Elephas maximus indicus: one gene and its partner. The protein of the gene in region 2 purifies or fractionates together with the protein of the main gene of each other region. This does not show direct contact. Links are inferred from orthologs where the notes say so. Each region holds a gene or a part of one and is shown on either strand. Other genes may lie near its edges. The genes, in order: CHCHD4 and cytochrome c oxidase subunit 6B1.

Evidence for each region.
Region 1: the proteins of cytochrome c oxidase subunit 6B1 (region 2) and CHCHD4 purify together in Homo sapiens (co-immunoprecipitation; 3 studies listed by BioGRID and IntAct, with this or other methods). This does not show direct contact. The link is inferred for Elephas maximus indicus from reciprocal best matches to the Homo sapiens genes COX6B1 and CHCHD4.

The regions. Positions count from the first base shown.
Region 1 is NC_064838.1:39,926,653-39,937,502, reverse strand, and holds the start of CHCHD4 (mitochondrial intermembrane space import and assembly protein 40), read right to left. Parts: upstream 4,186-10,850; 5' UTR 4,006-4,185; coding exon 3,984-4,005; intron 1-3,983. Other genes in the region: TMEM43 (transmembrane protein 43), read left to right, coding at 4,538-4,549, 9,624-9,773, 10,689-10,823.
Region 2 is NC_064829.1:114,612,052-114,622,806, forward strand, and holds the start of cytochrome c oxidase subunit 6B1, read left to right. Parts: upstream 1-6,765; 5' UTR 6,766-6,872; intron 6,873-8,731; 5' UTR 8,732-8,742; coding exon 8,743-8,848; intron 8,849-10,755. UniProt on the Homo sapiens protein: Component of the cytochrome c oxidase, the last enzyme in the mitochondrial electron transport chain which drives oxidative phosphorylation.

The DNA of each region.
Region 1 (10,850 bases), on a different chromosome or scaffold from region 2:
TTACTCTCTGCAGAGCCATTCTTGACCCTGTCTTCCTCTCACACCTCCATCAGCAAATCCTGTTGGCTCTACCTTCAAACATATCCAGAAAGATCGGCATCCCTCACCGCTACAATGCCATCTCCCATCACTTGCTCCCTCCACTCCAGCCACACTGGCCCCTTGCTTTTACTTGAACCTGCTGAGCACACTCTTACTTCTGGGCCTCTGCACAGGCTGTTCTCTCTTCCAGGAGCAGTCTTCCCTCAGATCTCCTCATAGCCACTCTGTCCCTGCCTTCACATCTCCTGCTCAGATGCCCCCTTCCCAGGCCACTTCCCCATCTCCTTACCCTGTTTTATTTTTCTCCAAAGCACTTTTCCCCACCTAACACATTTAGGTGTTTACTGCCTGTCTCCCCCACTGGAACATCAGCTCCACAAGAGCAGGGATTTTTGTCTATTCCAAACAATATCATTCATATCACATGCAAGTAAAATTTTGCTGAGTATCATTCAAAAGTGGCTGCAACAGTACATGGACAGGGAACTGCCAGAAATTCAAGCCTGATTCAGAAGAGGACGTAAAACCAGGGATATCACTGCTGATGACAGATGGATCCTGGCTGAAAGCAGAGAATACCAGAAAGATGTTTACCTGTATTTTATTTACTATGCAAAGGCATTGGACTGTGTGGATCATAACAAATTATGGCTAACATTGCAAAGAATGGGAATATCAGAACACTTAATTGTGCTCATGAGGAACCTCTACATAGATCGAGAGGCAGTCATTCGAACAGAATAAGGGGAGACTGCGTGGTTTAAAGTCAGGAAAGGTGTGTGTCAGGGCTGTATTCTTTCACCATACTTATTCAATCTGTATGCTGAGCAAATAATCTGAGAAGCTAGAATATATGAAGAAGAATGCAACATCAGGATTGGAGGAAGACTCATTAACAATCTGTGTTATGCAGATGACACAGGCTTGCTTGCTGAAAGTGAAGAGGACTTGAAGCACTTACTGAGGAAGATCAATGACCACAGCCTTCAGTATGGATTACACCTCAACCTCAAGAAAATAACAGTCCTCACAATGGGATCAATAAGCAACATCATGATAAATGCAGACAAGATTGAAATTATAAAGGATTTCATTTTACTTGAATCCACAATCAATGCCCATGGAAGCAGCAGTCAAGAAATCCAAAGATGCACTGCACTGGGCAAATCAGCTGCAAAAGATGTTTTTAAAGTGTTGAAAAGCAAAGATGTCACATTGAAGGCTCAGGTGCGCCTGACCCAAGCTGTGGTGTTTTCAACTGCCTCGTATGCATACAAAAGCTGGACAATGAATAAGACCGAAGAACTGACACCCTTGAATGGTGGTGTTCCCGAAGAGTATTGAATATACCTTGGACTGCCAAAAGAATGAACAAATCTGTCTTGGAATAAGTAAAACCAGGATGCTCCTTAGAGGCACGGATGGTGAGACTACATCTCATATACTTTGGACAATGTTATCAGGAGGGATCAGTCCCTGGAGAAGGACATCATGCTTGGTAAAGTAGAGGGTCAGCAAAAAAGAGAAGACCCTGAACAAGATGGACTGACACAGTGGCTGCAACAATGGGCTCAAGCATAACAAGGATCGTGAGGATGGCGCAGGACTGGGGCAGCGTTTCGTTCTGTTGTACAGAGGGTCGCTATGAGTCAGAATCAACTCAAGGGCACCTAACAACAATGACAACTGTTGGTGCTTTAATGCCCCTCTCTTCCACCAGATGCCAGGAAGGCACAGATTGTGTCACCTTTGTCACTAATATATGTCCAATGGCTGGCACATACAGATGCTCAATATTTGATGACTTAACAGGAGAGGGCAGGCTCAGTATTAGGAAGAGAAGAAACCAAAGAAAGGAGCAGTGTGGAGCTGACGGAGAAGTACGGGTGGCCCAAGGCCACAAAGCAAGGCTGAGTTCACACTGCAAAACACCTAGAATACCAAGCTAAGGCCTTTAACCTGTAGTAACAACTAAAACAGGCCTGCAAGTGAGTACTTTCAATTCTCATCTCCAAACTAAGGAAGAGAGAGACCTCTGAACCAGGAAAAGACAGGGCTTCACGCTTTGGTGGCAGAGGGACACTGCCCCTCCTTCCCAGAGAACCTGTGACTGCTGTAAACTCCTCAAGAACAGAAGAGGTGTTATTTATCTGCACAGCCTCACTGTACCCAAGAGGGTCAAAAATGATTTGTTAAATGAAGTAAACTTGAGACTAAGAGAAAGGGAGTTAAAAATAGGACAAAGGACTTACTGTCTAACATAAACTGGTTAGGGCAGAGGACTTTCGTTTATGGCAGACTTAATTATTAATCAGCAGGAAACAGTGCTCATTAGAGACATTAGAAGGAGCCCTGGTGGCGCAGTGGTTAAATGCTCAGCTACTAACTGAAAGGTCAGTGATTTGAACATAGCAGATACTCTGCAGGACAAAAATGTGGCAATCTTCTCCCACAAAGATTACAGCCTTGGAAACTCTAGAGAGCAGTTCTATTCTGTCTTATAAGGTCATTGTGAGTCAGAGTCGATGGCAATGGGTTTTTAGAGACATCAGTGAGTATTATGGCTTTATGATCCAGGGAAGGAGGAAAAGTTCCAGAAGCAGGCTGGGGTATTGGGGAAAAGGCCTATCATTCTACGAGGAGCTCTGCCCCTAACTGGCTGCATGCCCTTGGACAGGTGAGCCCCTTTTCTGGGCTTCAGGTTTCCTGAGTTAAACTGAGGGGACAGGACTATTGACCAAAAAATCTCTGGGTGAGTTCCGACTCTCTGGAATTTTATATTCTTAAGTGTCCACCGGCCCTGCACAGAGGTGTTTCATGATTATTTGCAGAATGAATGAAGCTCAACTTCTCATTTTACACCACTGGAAAGTGGGGCCGGGAGGAATTAGATGGCAGATCAGTTAGTGGTAGCATATGAGGAGGCACTGGTACCATCTAACCTTCCAAGCTCTGGCCTAGTGGTAACAACAGGGAAACAGAAAGGCGTGAGTGGTGACCCACCTTGTCGGGGGAGGGGAAGCCTTCCTGGCCTAAGGCTCCTGGGAACCCAGGCTCCAGATTGGATAGTGCAGTTCAGATGCCAGGGCTCATACCCACCTCCACCACATACTGGCCATGTGATTTAGGCCAAGTCACTTAAACCCCTCTGTGCCTTAATTTACTCTTCGGTAAAATGGGGATAAAAACAGGAGCTGACTTAGATCGCTGAAAGGCCAGTGAAATAAACTATGTAACAGCTCCTTGAACAGTGCCTGACGTAGTAACCAAAACCAAACCCGCTGTTGTCGAGTCGATTCTGACTCATAGGGACCCTACAAGACAGAATAGAAGAGAACTGCCCCATAGGGTTTCCAAGGAGCGCCTGGTGGACTCGGCCTGCCGACCTTCTGGTTACCAGCCTAGCTCTTAACCACTACACCACCAGGGTTAGTAGGGGCTAACAAGTGTTCCCGCCAGGGGTACTTCTACCACTCCTGCACAGCATCTGACCCGAGGGGCAACTTTTCGGGACAGGAACAAGGCGCATGCAGTATGGAAACACGTGGTTTGTGGTGAGAGTGACTGTAATAATTAATACTAATAAATTCCCAATTACGGGCCAGGAAACGTGCTCAGCATTTCTCGTGCACCCTCCGGGCCTAGTTTATGAATCTCGCACGTGCTGGTTCCTCTGAGGCCAGGGTTCAAGACTCTCCATGACCTTGGACCAGCCCCGTTCCTCCCAGAGCCTGGGTTTTCTCATCTGCAGAATGGGGTGAAGACTCTGCCGCCCAGACCGCCCCCTAGGGTCCCGAGGACGGCGCCCAGGACTGCGCCTCGGGTTGCCGGGCCGGCCGTGGGGTCGCGGGGCGCCCGGGCCTGCGGGGGCTGTCCGGGTGCCGTGTCCCCTGCAGGCCCTCGTAGGCCGGTCTCCACGGCAGCCTGCTCGTCCTCCCTACCTTCTTGCCGGCAGTAGGACATGGCGGCAGCCGGGCACTCAGACTTCGCAGCCCGAGCGGCGGTGGCGGATCCACGCCGTGACCTCCTCTCAGGTAGGGCGGGCGGCTCCGAGGCCCGCGCGGGCCCGCCCCCTCCAGGCCTGCCCGCCGCGCGCCTGCTTCCGCGCCCTCCTAGCTTCAGCCCGGCCCCTCAATTGAGAACTACATTTCCCAGGAGGCTGCGTGTCCCATGGCCCCTTTCCAGGCAGCAGAAACTACATTTCCCAGAAAGTCCTGCGATGCGCATGCGCACGAGTGCGGTTCCGCGCATGTTGCAACTTTGTGGCGGAAGCCTGTGACTCCGGGCTTTCCACGGACTGCATTTTCCAGGAGGCTTTGCGGCGCGCGTGCTCAGAAGAATGGGGGCGCCTGGGGTGGTAACTCTGTAGCAAGTCCCGCCTTGTCCTGGACCCCACGCCGGCATTTGCAGCTCCCGGCCGGCAAGAGGCCACTGGATTCCGGTTGTCAGCTCTAGCTGAGCAGAGCGAGGAGGCGGCGACGAGCCAGGTGCCACGATGGCCGCGAACGTGAGTGTCTCCTGCTCACCCGGGCCACACCCAGACTTGCCGTCACCCAGGGGCCTCCGGTTCCTTTTGTTCGTCTGACCGCTGTCTGTCTACCTCTGCACGGTTGTGTTCATGCCGCTGGCAGCTCGTCAGCCTGTTGATCTATCTTGAATCTCTCCATCCTCCGCTTGTCCATATTCTTTAGCCTAGCTCATCCTCGGGTCGCGCGTTTGTGGGGAGGGAAACCCGGGAGGTGTCGCTTCTGGCAGTGGCATCTTGTTGAGCGCGGCGCCTACCTGAGGCCCTACATTTCATTCCCAGTTCCCTCCTGGGCACTTGTTGTTAGTTAGCATCGAGGTGATCACGACTCGTGGAGACTCCATGTGAGCAAATTGGGGTTCTCAAACTTGCAGAATATGAGAGCTGGAGGGGACCTCAGAGAGAGGCCTGTCTGTGGGGAGGGCGGGGTGGCCGTTCCGGCCCCAAGTGGAGCTCTCCACCAACGGACAGGGCTGGCCCGACGGTAAGTGAGGTCCCCGTTCTAGGGATGTATGCACATCGAGGCCGTGATGCAGCAAAGGGGCTCGGGTTGAGCTGGGGCGCAAGAGTTAGGATTATGGTGAGAAGGCGCATTTCCCAACTGCCGGATCCGCCTGCTTCTAGAGGGGATTTGATTAAAGAGGCCTTGGCTGAAGGTGGTTCCCTTCCAAAGGCTGCCCTCTTCTCTTTGCAGCCAGCCTTTCTCAGGAGCTTTTCTATTTACGCCCAACGTTCATTCGACAAAGGGAGGAGCAGCACCTCCTGCAGGGTGCTGGATTGGGAGAAGCTGGTGACTCACCACTCCTCTGTGTGAAAGTGCTTCTGTAGCCAGCCTGGGCATCCTGCCATCCCCACACACACCCTCCCTCGTGTTTTGATGGAGTGTTCCAGCCACCGTCCCCTGGCTTGTTACACCCGCTTTCCATACCCTTTCTCTGTCCCTGAGCATTCTCTGCTTCCCACGCCCCCTGAGAGACCAGGGTTTGTCACCCACAACCCTAGCACGCTCTGCTTCAGGTTAGTGTTGCCCTGGGAGTGTGGGGGATAGAAGCCTTGAGCTGAGGTGGTCCGTGGGCTTTCAGACCCAGAGGCCCAGGGTCTGCTGTGAGGAGGGTGCAGCCAGGAGGCCATCCCACTCCCAGTAGGTGGATTCTTGGCTGCCCCTCCCCTCACCATATTTTACAATGTGGAACTTCCCAGCAGGCAGAGGCACTTGCTCCAGGGAATGGTTTTGTCATGGGAAGGTGCTGAAGAGGTGCCTTTGGAGTCAGGCAGCCCTGAGGGCAGATCCAGATTCTTCTGCTCAGTAGCTGTGTGGCCTTACTCTCTCTGGTTTATGTTTCCTCGTCCGTAAAATGGAATCAGTAATGGTTTCTCTCCTATAGCTTGCTGTGAAGTTTAAGCCAGACTGCTCAGCACAGTGCCTGACTCATAAACCAAAAAAACCAAACCTGTTGCCGTCGAGTCAATTCCGACCCATAGCGACCCTACAGGACAGAGTAGAACTGCCCCATAGGGTTTCCAAGGAGCGGCTGGTGGATTTGAACTGCTGACCTTTTTGGTTAGCAGCCGAGCTCTTAACTACTGTGCTACCATGCCTCCGCCTGGCACATAAACCTTTTGCCATTAAATTGATTCTGATTCATAGCGACCCTTATAGGACAGAGTAGAACTGCCCTGCACGGTTTCCAAGTAATGGCTGGTGGATTTTGGCTAGCAACCCAGTTCTTAATCACTGTACCACCTAGCACATAAAAAAAAAAAAAAAAGCACATAGTAGGTACTTAATATATGGAAAAAAGAAATTCTGTCCTCATAGTTGCTGGACTGTGTCTATCTCCCTGTCCTGGTTTGGGCAGAGACCGTCTCACATATGTTGGGACCAGACACTTTGTCAGGTAACAGACTTGCTTAGCTATCCTTTGCAGCCAAGCCTTGGTTTATTCATCCAGTAGCTGGGTGCACATTTACAGGAGCTACCAGGCTGGAGTCGGAATCAACTCGACAGCAGTGGGTTTGGTTTTTGGTTTACTAGGCTGGTGAAGAAGAAAGATCTGAAGAGGGAAGGGTGGATCAGAGAAGAAAAGTGACAGAATTCATAGCCATATAACAACTGTCCTGTGAGGGAGGTACTATACCATCTTATTTTATAAGGGAATGTCATGGATTGAATTATGTTTCCCCTAAAATATGTATATTAACTTGGCTAGGCCATGATTCCCAGTATTCTGTGGTTGTCCTCCATTTTATGATTGTAATTTTATGTTAAAGAGGATTAGGGTGGGATTGTAACACCCTTACCAGGTCACATTCCTGATCCAATGTAAAGGGAGTTTCCCTGGGGTGTGGCCGGGAGCAGAGCAGGTCCTTTAGGCTGGGGGTTCCTGTGCAGAGTAGCTCCTAGTCAAGGGAAAGATTGAGGAGAAAGACCTTCCTCCAGAGCCGATAGAGAGAGAAACCTTCCACCGGAGCTGATGCCCTGAATTTGGACTTCTAGCCTCTTAGATTGTGAGAAAATAAATTTATGTTTGTTAAAGCCATCCACTTGTGGTATTTCTGTTATAGCAGCACTAGATGACTAAGACAGGGAATAAACAGAATTAGAAGAGTGGAGCAACAGCCAAGGGTCACAGAGCCCATGATTTGCAGAACTGAGGTTTAAATCCAGTTCTGTCCTATTCCAAGGCCTGGATGTGGATCTCGGTTCCTACCACGTTGTCTCTGAGCCCTGAGAGCTGGGTATGTGTCGTTGGGGATAAATATGCCTCCACGTTTACTGGGAATATCAGTTCAGAATGCGGACTGTGTGTGTTGTGTCACCTCCTACCCATAACCCTAGCCTGGGGGGACCCCCTGTGCTTCTTTTCCCTCCCTTCAAGGCCGTCTTTGAGCCCCTTCTCTTGATACTGGCTTCTCAAGGTAGCTGAGGGGAGGCCAAGGCTGGGGCTGCCCTCTCTTCTTTTCCGTCACTGCCCACGGCTGGCTCCCAGGGTTCAACTCACATTACAGCCGAAGAAATGCAGAATGCAGTCTGGAGCAGAGCAGTAGGAGAGTGGCCTCCAGTCTGCCTGAATTTGAATCCTAAATCAGTCCATCTTTTATTGACTATGTGATCTAGGCAGGTGACTTAACCCCCAGCCCTTGGTTCTCTCATCTGTGAAATAGGAGTAGTGATGGCACCCACCGCCTTGGGATTGTCCATGACGGGCATGTGGTAGACAGGGATGTTTACCATCTTTGTTATGGTGAGTAACTCCACTAATGTTTCCAAATGGCATGGAAAGTCAAGACCATTTCTGGACACAATGGACACCTAGTCCCTGACAAGCCTGTGGTGGTGGCATTCAGGGACAAGCAGAAGAACTTGGTATCCGCTTTGTTGAAGCAGAAATTCTGTCTTGAATCTCTCCATTGACACCTCCCCCCCACCCAACTCAGTGCAGGATGGGTCCTCGCTCACCCTGGTGCTCATCTGCAAACCACTTGACATCTTGGTGACCTTTGTCAGCTCACCCCAGCCTTGACACCACAGAGAAACCTGATAACACTCCCACCAGCCAGCACCTGTACAGGGCTCACCATACACTGGTCACTGAGCCATCTAATTACGTCCTCACAAGAACCCAGTGCATTGGATTATTGTTCCCATTTTACAGATGAAAAAAACGGAAGGAACATAGGGATTAAATTGCTGCCCAAGGTCACATAGCTGGCGTGACAGAGCCAGGACTCAAACTCAGTCCTGCAGATTCCATGCTTATGAACACACTCCAAACCTTGTTTTTGTTATCACCTGAACAAAGCCTGGCTTTAGAGGCCTGGCTGTGCCTCGCTTCCTGCATCTCCCCCACTGCCCTAAAGCCCTAGGCCCAGCAGGTTGGCAGCTCTTCCTATAGAATCACTTCTGCACAGCTTCCCTGCTAGGGATGCCCTTCCAAAACCCTCCTCAAATGTACCCTCTTCCTGGCAGCCTGCCTTGATCCCCCAGCTGGAAGGGGTCACTTGTTTAGCATGGATCCACCCTCTCACTGGACACTCAATCAGCATGATCTTCTAGTATTGTTTGTGGCTGTCACATGACTGCCCCATAAGCCTGTCTCCCCCTCTTTCCTCTCCACCAGGCCCAGCATGCATGGCCCTCAGCTCAGTCACTATTTGTTGAATTTAATTAAAAATACATCTCTAACAACCTTTTCTTAAAACAGGCAGTTTCTTAAAAAGTTAAACATACGTCTGTCTTATGACCCAGCAGTTCTACTCCCATATATATATATGCATATAAAAAACCCGTTGCCGTCAAGTCGATTCCAACTCATAGTGTCCCTACAGGACAGAGTAGAACTGCCCCATAGGGTTTCTGAGGAATGCCTGGTGGATTCGAACTGCCGACCTTTTGGTTAGCAGCCATAGCTCTTAACCACTAGGCCACCAGGGTTTCCATATATGCATGTATATATGTTTCATTACTCTTATGCATACAAACATATAAGAGAAATGAAGGCACACGTCCACACATGACTCATAATAGCCCCAAACTGGAAACAACCCAGGTGTTCATCAACTGGTGAATGAATACATGAATTGTAGCATGTCCACACATTAGAATATTACACAGCCAAAGAAAGGAACAAATCACTGATATGCAACACAGATGAGTCTCAGAAAGCACTATGCTGAGTGAAAGAAGCCAGACAGACAGGATTTCATGCTGTATGATTCCATTTATGTGAAGTTCTACAAGAGGCAAAACTCATCTATAGTGATAGAAATCTGATGAGTTGTTTCATCTGAGGGTAGGGAGAGTACTGATAGGAAAGGGCACAAAGGAATTTTCTGGGTGATAGGAATGTTCTCTATCTTGGTCTGGGTGTTGGTCACATAGGGCATACATTGGTCAAAGCCCATTAAACTATACCCTTAATATCTGTGCATTTTTACCGTGTGAAAATTGTATCTCAATAAGAACTGAGTTTAAATAAATAAATAGCAAAACTCAATTATATTTTTTAAAAACCTAACTCTCATTCTGACTTTTAAAAATCTGTTTTTTCCTCAGTACTCCAGTACGGCTAACAGAAGAGAACACACGAAAACAACAGCAAGCCCCCAGCCAGGCTTCCTGGAGCGGCTTAGCAAGACCTCGGGTGGCATGTTTGTGGGGCTCATGACCTTCCTGCTGTCCTTCTACATAATTTTCACCAATGAGGTAAAATGTTCAGGGTCCCACTGTATAAAGTGAGGGTCCGCCCCGCCGGTGTCAGAGAGCTAAGGCTGTGAATCCAGAGGCTAGATTTGGTAATAAAGGGCCCAGATTTTCCAAAAGAGAGAGAGGTGCTGAATTCATCAGAAGCTTTTCTGTTGTGACCCATCTCACAACTGATGTAAGCAGGAAAAGGAACAGATCAGTTCACATGCCTAAAAATCCTGGGAGTAGCCCCAGCTTCAGGCCTGGTTGGATCCAGGTGTTCATGCTGGGTCATCAGGAATCTTCATTTCTCCATCCCTTAGCAGTTTTTCTCTGTGATGGCATTGTTCTTGGGAAGGCTTATTCTTCATGATGACAGAGGTGGCCCTAGCAACTCCAGGGGGACATCCAACCAGCTTAGCAACCCCAGAGAAAAGAGGAACCATGTCTTTCTAAATCAGTTTAGCCACAGTTGCAGGGAGAGCTCTCAGTGTCCTGGCTTGGGTCTCTGTCCTCTCTCTGAACCAAATCCTGTAGCCAGGGGGTTGTTGGTGGCTAGGCCTTAGTCAAATGATTTAAATGATGGTTCAAATCAGCCTACGTAAACCACATGCGCTGAGAGTAGGCGAGGGGTGGAGAAGACAAAGGAAATTGGGGAAAGGGGCCAGCTCTTCCTAACACGGGGTCAGTGCTGAGATTGGCAGGAGAGGAGGGGTAGGGACCAGTGGAGTCATGGGAAGAGGTCTGCCTGGAAGAGCAGGGATCCTGGGCTCCAATCCTGATCTGCATGCTTGCTGGGCCTCAGCTTTCTAGCTGTAAAAAGGAGGGAAGAGTCGCAGTGCCTCTCTGAGGCCCATCATGCTCTGACAGTCTGCAGCAAGCACAACTGCTTCGAACCACCCCGACTTGGTGCTAGCTGCTTTCCTCCGCTCTCAGGGCCGCGCATTGAAGACGGCGACCTCCCTGGCTGAGGGGCTCTCGCTTGTGGTGTCCCCGGACAGCATCCACAGTGTGGCTCCGGAGAACGAGGGGAGGCTGGTGCACATCATAGGGGCCCTGCGGACTTCCAAGGTAGGTTTGGCAATGGTCGTGGCCCGC
Region 2 (10,755 bases):
GACCACCCAGCCCCAGGACCCTCACCCCACCCCCCATCACTAGCTTCCCCATTCCCCACCCCCTCCCGCTCACTGCAATTAGGGAGGCAAGGAAGGAGACCGGAAGAGAGCGGTTCCAGAAAGGAGGTTTTAAATGTGTGCACGGGAGTCCTAGGAACAGGGAGGAAAGAGAAGAGAGCTGGGGTGGAGGAAAGACAATCAGGCAGAGATGGAGGAGATGGGGAGGGCAGCTCAAGGCAGACAGATGAAAAAAGACTGAGAACAATCAGCCAGAAATAGGGGAGTAAGAAGGGAGATGGGGAAAAAAAAAAGCAGCGAGATGGAAACAGAAGATGGGGGAGACAGGAGCACTCAGAGAGATGGGGAGACTCAGGTGGACACGGACTTGTCAGAGAGAATGAGTGACAGCCCTCACTGGAGGCAGGCCTGGGGCAACACTCAGAGCTGGGGGAACCTACCGGGGAGAGACAGATGGCAATACACAGGAGAGAGGCCTCTGACCCTCAGGCCAGACTGGAAAATGTGATGCAGTAAGGGGGAAGACAGGAGCAGAGGGAATTTGAGATCTCTTCTGGAGAGGAGGCCTGAGGCTGGGGGGCAGGGAAGGTCAGGACTCCCTTCAGGCCTCTGGGGTTGGATGGATGGGTGGAGACCATATTGTCCCTTCTGTAAAATGGGCAATCGCAACACGCATCGGAAAGCCGGACGATGAATAAGGAAGAACAAAGAAGAATTGATGCCTTTGAATTATGGTTCTGGTGAAGGACACTGAATATGGTAGAAGAACCAACAGGTCTGTCTTGGAGGTAGTACAGACAGAATGCTCCTTGGAAGCAAGGATAGCGAGACTTCATCTCATGTACTACGGACATGTTATTAGGAGGTACCAGTCCCTGGAGAAGGACATCATGCTTGGTAAGGTAGAGGGTCAGCAAAAAAGGGGAAAATCCTCAATGAGATGGACTGACACAGTGGCTGCAACATTGGGCTCGAGCGTAACAGCGATGGTGAGGATGGCGCAGGACGGGGCAGGGTTTTGTTCTGTTGTACATAGGGTCACTATGAGTTAGAGCCGACTCGACAGCACCTAACAACAACAACAACCAAATGGACAGAAGAGCAGTGCTCACTCCCCTCAACCCTCCCACCTCCCACCCCACCAACCACCACTCCCCCACCCCCCTTACAAGGGATTCTGGGGAAGGCGTTTAGAGTAGAGCTGCATGGGGGAACAGTTATTAAGATGAAAGGAGAATGGCAACTGGTAAATGATTGAAGCTGGGTGAATATTGGAAAATGTCCCTATAAAGAATTAGGGTATTTTTAACAGTAAATATTATTGACCTATTAATATACCTTGATGGGCTTGAGCAGAGACTCTGAAGCCAGGTTGCCAGATTGAGAAAATAAAAACACAGGACACCCACTTACATTTGAATTTCAGAGAATTAATAAATTGTTAGTATACGTATGTCCTCAATGTTGCATGTGTGTATATGTTGCATGTACACATTTTTGTTTTTTGCGGAATGATCTGAATTTCTTCAAATGTTACATTGTAACACTTCACTCCTGAATACCTCAGTATCCATCTCTCAGTAGAGACATCTTTCCTATCATACTACCACTACCACATCTACGGATATTAACAGTAATTCTGATAGCTCATATTCAATTCATGATCAAATCTCTCCAGTTCTTCCCAACTGTCTGTTATAACACGGAGGGGCATGGGATCTGCAGTGGAAGTAGAAGGAAGCCTGCCTCAATTTCCTGCCTCATAAAATGCTGATAAGAATACTAACTACCTCTTAAGAGGATTAAATGAAGACCCAGCACAGCTGAGCACAACAAGAAGCCCCCCCCGCATAAAATGTTAGATATTACTATTACTTTTGTATTGCTTATACTGTCGATGTTATTATGATTGACATTTCTAGGGAGCAGTCCCCAAACGTCCTCCCCAACACCCTTGGAAGGGCCTGATGGGGTTTCCCGGGTCAGCCTCTCTTCACCCCACCCCACCTCTGTGGATTGTGACGTCGACCGTGGGGAGGGGATGGCCGGAAATCCCGCTTCCTGTTGCAGATAAGCCTCGCTCAGCCCAGCCCACCCCAGACCCTCTCCCTCTACTATGTCGCAGAATCAAGTCCCCCAAAGGGAGAACCTGTACACTGAGCCCTCCCCGCCCCCTCCCGCCTGCCCCCCATCACCACGTAGGGCTCCCCACTCCCTCAGCCCGCTGTTCCCGAAGACCAGGTCCAGGCCCAAGCTGCTCCAGCTGCAGGACAGCCCCAGCGACTCGGGGGGGTGACAGGCGCCCATCCCTGAGGCTGGGGGGCGCGGCTCCGCCCTGCCCCTGCAACTCGACCCCGCTGCAACCCCCAGCTCTGACGTCTTGGAAAATTCCCCCCTGCCCCGGCCCCCGGGGAGGGGGTCCATGGTATGAAATGGGGCTGAGACCCCCGGCTGAGGGCAGAGGGACCTGCCAGAGGTGAGCGCAGAGCTGGAGACTGGGTGAGGAGGGGCTGGGGGTCCTGAATCCTGGGTCTGAGAGTGGGGAGGGCTGAAAGCTAAGTCTCCAAGATCGTGGGGAAGGAGGGAGCAGGGGCCAGGCCCCCTGGGTCTGAGGCAAGCCAAGGGTGGGGGTCCAAACTCCAGGGTCCCTAAGTGCCACCGGCTCAGTGTTGCTCTTTCCCATTTTCCTGGCCCGGAACATTCAGAAGGAACATCCATGGATTTGTCGAACTGGGATGGAGCATCACCACAGGAAGTGCCCCCTGGGAACAGGCTCTCAGGGCTGGGTAGGCTGCTGGGGCTGAGGCTGTGGAGAGGAGGCCCAGGTGGGACCCCTGCTGACCCCTGAGCTGGCCTTGACCACTTTATTGCCTGCAGCGGGAGTCGAACTTGGCTTCTATTTCCCTGAATTGGCACGTCAAGAGGACACGCTGACAGCAGAGACATGCTGTAAAGGTGGCTGCAGGCGGGGAAGAAGAGGGCTGGGTTCCTGGGTCTGCTTGAGGTCCTGAGGTCAAGGGAGGAGGGATCCCAGGGTCCTGAGTCCTGGGTCCGGGTGGGTTGTTGAGGGAGGGTCTCTAATCACTACTGACACCCTTCTCTAAACACAGCTACCACCTTGCCCCTCGCAGGGCTCCCACAGTTGGACTGGCGCTCCGCCTTACCCCACCCAGAAGCTCCATGGGGAACGGGTGAGTGTGTGGAAAAGCGGAGGTAGGAGGAAACTGGGGGTCCCAGAGCACCGGGGCTGGAGGCCTAGATTCCCAGGTGGTTGAAGGGAAAACGTGCTGGGACTGGAGACGCCTGTGGCTTCAAGGTGGCATGACCTGGATCCGTGTAGCTGCTCCCTCCACCCCGAGTAACCGGAGCCCGGGCCAGGAGGCGCCGGGGCTGAGACCTTAGACACCCAGACCATCCGAGTGGGCGAGGGCCGGGACACCTGAGCTCCCCTCACTTGGGGTCCGTTCCTCCTTACAGAGCCCGCCCCTCAGGCCCTTCAGTGGCCTGGAGACTGGACGGACCTGGCATGTCTCAGCTCGGACCCTCGGAGTCCCGCCTCCCAGGCCCTGGGCCCAGCCGGCCGCGGCCTGGGCCCCACGCCCTTCGCTGGTTCTGAAGGGGTAGCGGGGCTGAACTGTCCCCCCTCGGCAGGAGCGGCCCCTTTGTGGTCGCCTGCCCAAGCCGCGGGGGGCTCCACCAGCTGGGACTGCTCGATCGGCCCCGATCGCGCCACCTGCCCGGGCCTCAGCCTAGAAACGCGCGCGGACTGTAGCGTTTCGTGGGGCGGGCCTGCGGGCTCGGACTGTACCACCTCCTGCGCCCGGGGGCTGAATGCGGACTGCACCACCCCTTCCGAGCGGTACCAGAGTTCAGGTCGCACCACTTCCTCGGAACCGAGCCAGCAGTCGGATCGTTCCACTTTGACTTGTTACCGCCAAACTAGCCACCGAGGTGAGAGGTCCCCGAGGGAGCCCTGCCTGAGTGCAGCGAGGCGGGGTCAAGGAGTTTGAGGGGGAGGGACCCGGGAAAGGGTGTAAGGGCGGGGCTTAGGTACCCTGGTGCTTGGGGAAAAGACCAGCGTCTTCTAGGGAGCAAGCGGATGGGGGCCCAGTCTCCACTGCACGCCTGGATCTCCAAGGCTGTTGGTTGTTGTGTCCCATCCGTTGATGCCGACTCACAGCGAGCCTACAGGACAGAGTAGAACTGCCCCCTAGGGTTTCCTAGGCTGTAATCTTTAAGGGAACTGGTCGCCAGGTTTTTTCTCCCGTGGAGCGGCTGGTGGATTCGAACCGCCGACCTTTAGGTTAGCAGCCAAGCTCTTAACCATTGAGCAACCACGGCTCCATCTCCGGGGTAGGGAGGCTAAACTCCTAAATCCCCGAGATGGGGAGAAGGAGCGGATGCCTGAGTGTCCAAAGCAGACTCTTGGGTCCCCTATATGAGGGCTCCAGATTCTTGGGGCCTCGAGTTGGTAGGACGCCTTGGACGTCCTAGGTCGTCGATGCGCCACGGCCTGGGGCCCTGAAGCCTGAGTGTTCACGCCTCCTCGTCGCAGGTCCTATTCAGCTGTGGCAGTTCCTACTGGAGCTGCTCCGCGACGGGGCTCGTAGCAGCTGCATCCGCTGGACGGGCAACAGCCGCGAGTTCCAGCTGTGCGACCCCAAAGAGGTTTGGCCGCCCCCCAGCCCCACCTGGCCAAATCCCGCCCTGGTCTCCTTTGGCCGCCCCCAGCCTCGCCCTCACTAGGCGCCTCACAACGCTTGGTGAGCCGGGTCCCGGCCTCTACCCCGGCCACCCGCCTGGGACCTGTCTAACTTTTGTCAGGACCCCACCCCCGGCCTCGCCCAGCCAGGCCCACCCTGCTCCTTCCCCGCCCCCTCTGAGTAAGCCCCGCCTCTGCCCCAGGTGGCGCGCCTGTGGGGCGAGCGCAAGAGGAAGCCGGGCATGAATTACGAGAAGCTGAGCCGGGGCCTGCGCTACTACTACCGCCGCGACATCGTGCTCAAGAGCGGTGGGCGCAAGTACACCTACCGCTTCGGGGGCCGCGTGCCGGGCCTGGCCTAGCCGGACCGCGCGGGGCCCGACTAAGAGCAGTGACCCAATAAAAACATCCCGTCAAACCTCATCGCGTGTGCTGGTCCGCATCCTTCCCACTAACGCTAGGGAGCCTACCTGGGCACCACCACACCCGCACCCTCCCCTTCGTGCTGAGTGTTCCTGAGACACAACAGTGGCCCCAAAGACTGATCCGAAGGGGACCTACTGTGTGTCCGCTCGGTGACGCGGCGTGCCAAGGAATCAGAACCAGCCCCCATGGCCTACAGTGTGCCTGCCCTGTGTTGGGGCGCGTAAAGGAATCAGACCCAATCACTCATGTGTGAGTTTACCTGCTGTGTCGCCCTTGAAGAGGACTTCTGTAAGGGCCCTGGTGGCACAGTGGTTAAGAGCTCCACTGCTAACCAAAAGGTCAGCAGTTCGAACCCACCATGCGCTCCTTGGAAACCATATGGGACAGTTTCAGTCTGTCCTATTATAGAGTCGTTATGAGTCGGAATCAAAGGGTCGGCAGTTCGAATCCGCCAGGCGCTCCTTGGAAACTCTATGGGGCAGTTCTACTCTGTCCTATAGGTTCGCTATGAGTCGGAATCGACTCGATGGCACTGGGTTTGGTTTCTTTGGGGGGGGTATGAGTGTTTTTTTTATGAGTCGGAATTGACTCAATGGCAAAGGGTTTGGTTTTTTGGTTTTCTGAGTCATCAGAAACGAGGGGACGGTTCTGGGCTGAGGAGGATGTTGTCGGGGTCCCTCTGGCTGAATGGGCAGACTGGGGAGGGCAGCAGGTAGCTAGGAGGCCAGAGAATAGGCTACTGCAATAATTCAGGCTGGAGGTGACCGTGGCTTAAACCAGCTACGACAGGGGAGATTCTGGATATGTTTTTAAGGCCGCGATGGAATCATTTCTTCACGGACCCAAACCCAAACCACACGAAACCCACTGCCGTCAAGTCACACTCACAGCGACCCCATAGGGTTTCCAAGGCTGTAATGTTTACGAAAGCCGACTGCCACATCTTTCTCCCGCTGCTGGTTTCGAACCGCCGACCTTTCGGTTTGCAGTCGAACGCTTTAACCATTGCGCCACCAGGGCTCATCACAGCCCCAAGTCACCCGAATCTTTATTAATTGGTGCCTTATGAAGTTTAAAAAAAATTTTTTTTTTTTATGAAGTTTGGAGAAAGATGATGAGCAGGGAGGTGGAGTCTGGGTCAAAACGTGATGAGTAACCCCGGGGGAGAGATTGGTTTGTTTTCAATCTTCTAACAATTGGCCCCTTAAAAATCATCATGAAGGCAGGGACTTTGGTGTTTGTTGTTCAAAAATGTATCCTCAACGCTTAATAGAACTGCATGGTATAGGGTAAGCGTTCAATAAATATTTCTTGCACAAATAAACGTCCTTCCAATGGGATAGCCTTCTCCAGGCTCGTTCTCCAGCCAGCCCCGGGACCCACAACTACCTTGCTGGGGTAAAGATAGGGAGATCATGAGAGCCTGTAAGTGGGTATCCCGAGCCCCAGCTGGGAGCCTTTCCAGGTGCCGCGCCAGCTCACGGTTGGCCTGGGAGTGATGGTGAACAGGCAGTGAGCCCAATGGGAGGGCGGAGCTCCATGGGTGGGCGGTGCCAGAGCGGCTTCCGGGTACCGCCTCCCCGCGGGCGCTCTAGCCGCGCGAAAGACTCCTCAATGCTTCGCCTCGCTCCACTTCCGTCAGCTCTTAATTCCGCTTCCGGTCCGATAGAGGCGTCGCCTTCTGAGGGTCACATTGAGCTGCGAGCGGTTTCAGGGGTGTCTTTAGGTGAGTATGGCGGGCAGGGGAGCCTAGGACCCCAGCCGGGGGACTGAGGAACCAGACCCCAGCTTCCCCGAGAACAGAGGGAGGCTTTCGGCCGGTGACGCCGGGCTTCCCCGTGAGCCTCCGGGGGCCTGTTCTGTGAACACAGCTGACGATTGTGCAGTGTTTTTTTAATGCCAGGCGGCTTTTCAAGCGCTTTGCTTATATTCATTTAATCCTCCCTCCACCCTTGTGAGGTCGAGCCTGGGATGACCGCCTTTTGACAGTGGGGACACTGAAGCTCTGAGATGTTACGGAAGCGACGTAGCGGAGTTCACACAGCGACCAGGATTCGGACCCAGTAGTTGGACTGCAGAGCGCTGGTGGCGCAGGGTTTGCGAGGTCGGCTGCTAACCGAAAGGTCGGCAGTTCGAGCCCAGCAGCCGTTCCTCGGAAACCCTCTGGGGCAGTTCTTCTCTGTCCTGTGGGGTTGCTATGAGTCGGAATCGGGATTTTGGGTGGGTTTTGGTTTAGTGTGTATTGCAGTGCTTTTAATCACCAGGCCGCAGGCATGACCTCCCGGGGCTAGCCTGGACCGCGGCGTGGCTGGTATCCGACCCCTCCTTTTCCTTGGACGTTGGGAAGTCCGCGTCCTCACCCCAGATCCACCGTCATCCAAATATCGATTTGAGATCTCGCCCGAATAAAGCTACTCTTTGTCCCCACGGCTGTGTTCCAGCAGCTGGTGTTTTACATTCCTCTCCGACTTCCTCTCCACCTCCCCTCTCCCGAAGACTGTTGCGATGCTCCTGACCCCTACTGCTGCGCTGGCCGCTTGAATTGAACACCGGTCTGGGCATCTCTCTGCTACCCATGACGCCGCGGATTCCCTGCAATTCAGAGGCAGTTTCTCGCAGATTCCCAGGCGAAGACTGTGCTTCAGCTCTTTAGAGACATTATATCGGAAGTTTTTAACCCTATGTCCGCAGAGTCTATAGAATTCGAGGGATGCTAGCGCTTGAAGAGGGGACAAATTACATCTGTATTTTTAGGAACCTCTGATTCAAATATAGCATTTCCTTCAGTTAGAATGGAGGCAGCAGCCTCCGTAGTATTAACAGCACCTGTATTTTGGTCACCAGTCAAAATCACAGATACTGTTATATCACATTGGAAACCCTGGTGGTGCAGTGGTTGAGCGTTTGGCTGCTAACCAAAAGGTCGGCAGTTTGAATCCACCAGGCGCTCCTTGGAAACCCTATGGGGCAGCTCTACTCTGTCCTGTAGGGTCGCTATGAGTCAGAATTGACTCAATGGCAACAGGGTTTTTTTTTTTATGTCACATTACAGTTGCTGCAGATTTCATAGAATTATCCTTCTCACGTGTGATTCCTTCAAAATCGTGGTTGATAAAGCTGCAGCAAGATATAACTGGTTTTTGTTGTGATTCTATGCAATTTAAAATATATTTAAACACATTCTAAGGAAGGTTTATAGGATTCATCTGGCCCCTGAGGGGTTCACGGCCTCTATGGTGTAGGGTACGCCAGTGGTTGAGTGTAGCACCCCACCATGTGTATGGTGTGTGACCTTGGGAAGCGACTTAGACACTGTCCCCTCGTCTGTGCAGTGGGGACAGTTTCTACCTTACAGAGGGGCTGTTGTGAGTAAAGTGTAGAACGGCACCTGGCATGTGGTAGGCAGTGTATTTGGGGCCAGGCCTGATTTTGCTAAGGAGTAGTCCCCAACTGTGCTGTGACTTCCACACCCAGAGATATGGATTTGTCCTTTCTCTATCCGTTCTGTGTCTGGACCTGGGTGGATGGACATCCCATGCCTAGGCACCCCAGAGTCCCTACCAACACCCACCCCCTCTCCTCCAGGAGTCATCACCATGTCAGAAGACATCAAGAGCAAAATCAAGAACTACCGGACTGCCCCTTTTGACAGCCGCTTCCCCAATCAGAACCAAACCAGGAACTGCTGGCAGAACTACCTGGGTAAGCAAGGTGTGGTGGGAGAACACAGATCTTCCCCTGGTCTCATGCCTCAAGTCCCCCCTTCCCCTTTCCTTCCCCCTTCCCCCACCCTGCTGGGGTCTCCCATGCATCCTAACACTGGTCCTAGCTCCTCTTTTACCTCTGGAGAGCTAGTGCCAGCATGTCCAGGGTCGGCCACGATCACAAACTTTGATTTCTAAAGAATGGACAGCAATAGGTTTGGTTTTGTGTGTGTGTGTAATGCAACATATGTACAGGAAGTACATAAAACAGTGTACAGCTACATGAATAATTCTGAAATGAACCCCCAAGCACCCATAGCCTGAATCGAAAGTGGAATATTGCCAGCACTCGGAACTCCCCTGCCCTCTGCGTGCCCTGTCTTGAACACAGCCCCCTACTCTCCCCACTAGAGGTATGACCCCACAGGTGGCAGTCACAGTTGGGGTTTTATCACCAAGTTTTTAAGTTTCCTTCTCAGTGAGCTTCATACATACTAAATGTATTCTTTGTGTTTGGATGTGTTTATTCACATTTTTAAGATTCAGCCAGGCCGTGGCATGTAGTTTGTTCATTTTTATTGCTCCGCTGTATTCCACAACTTACCTCTTCTCTTCAGGGACACTTGTGTGGTTTCCAGCTTGGGACTCTGAGAATGATGCTGCTGTAGACGTTCTTATAAATGTAACCTGATGCCTGCGTGCAACGGGATGGAATGGAGGGAAATGGAGTGCCTGGAGGTTTTTTTTTTTATGGAATTTCTTTTCATTTCTTTCATTATGGTTGATTTTGTACTTGCTAAGTTTTTGTTTTTCTTATTTTTATTTTTTATTGTGCTTTAGGTGAAAGTTTACAGCTCAAGTTAATTTCTTATACAAAAATTATTATGTGACCCTAGTTGCAATTCCTATAATGTGACAGCACACTCCTCCTTTCCACCTGGGTTTCCCATGTCCATTTAACCAGCTTCTATCCCTTTCTGCCTTCTCATCCTGCCTTTGAACAGAAGCTGCCCGTTTAGTCTCGTGTATCTGTTTAAACTAAGAAGCACACCCTTCACGAGTATTGTTTTATGTTTTGTAGTCCAGTCTAATCTTTGAATGGTTCGCTTTGGAAATGGTTTTAGTTCTGGGTTAACAGAGAGTCTGGGGGGCCATGTCTTTTGGGGTTCCTCTAGTCTCAGTCAGACCACTAAGTTTGGTTTTTTTGTGTGAATTTGAGTTCTGCGCCCCACTTTTCTCCTGCTCCATCAGGACTCTGTTGGGTTCCCTGTCAGGGCTGTATCCGTGGTAGCCGGACACCACCAGGTTCTTCTGGTCTCAGGCTGATGGGGCCTGTGGTTTACGTGGCCCTCTTGTCTCTCGGGCTAATATTTTTCTGTGTCTTTAGTATTCTTCATTCTTTGCTCCAGGTGGGTTGGGACCAACTGATGCATCTTAGATGGCCACTCGCGAGCTTTCAAGACCTCAGACACCACTCATCAAAGTGGGATGCAGACCATTTTCTTAATAAACTTTATTATGCCATTTGGCCCAGATGTCCCGTGAAACCATGGTCCCCAGACACCTGCCCCTGCCAGTCTGTCCATTGAACTGTTTGGCTGTGTTTAGGGAACTTTTTTTAGCTTTTGGTTTAGTTCAGTTGTGCTGACTTCCCCTGTATTGTGTGTTGTCCTTCCCTTCACCTAAGATAATTCTTGTCTACTATGAAACTCTGGTGGTGTAGTGGTTAAGAGCTACAGCTGCTAACCAAAAGGTCAGCAGTTCAAATCTACTAGGTGCTCCTTGGAAACTCTGTGGGGCAGTTCTACTCTGTCCTATAGGGCCACTATGATTCAGAATCGGCTCAATGGCAATGTGTATGGTTTTTTTGGTTTATCTAGTTAGTGAATTCCCCTCTCCCTCTCT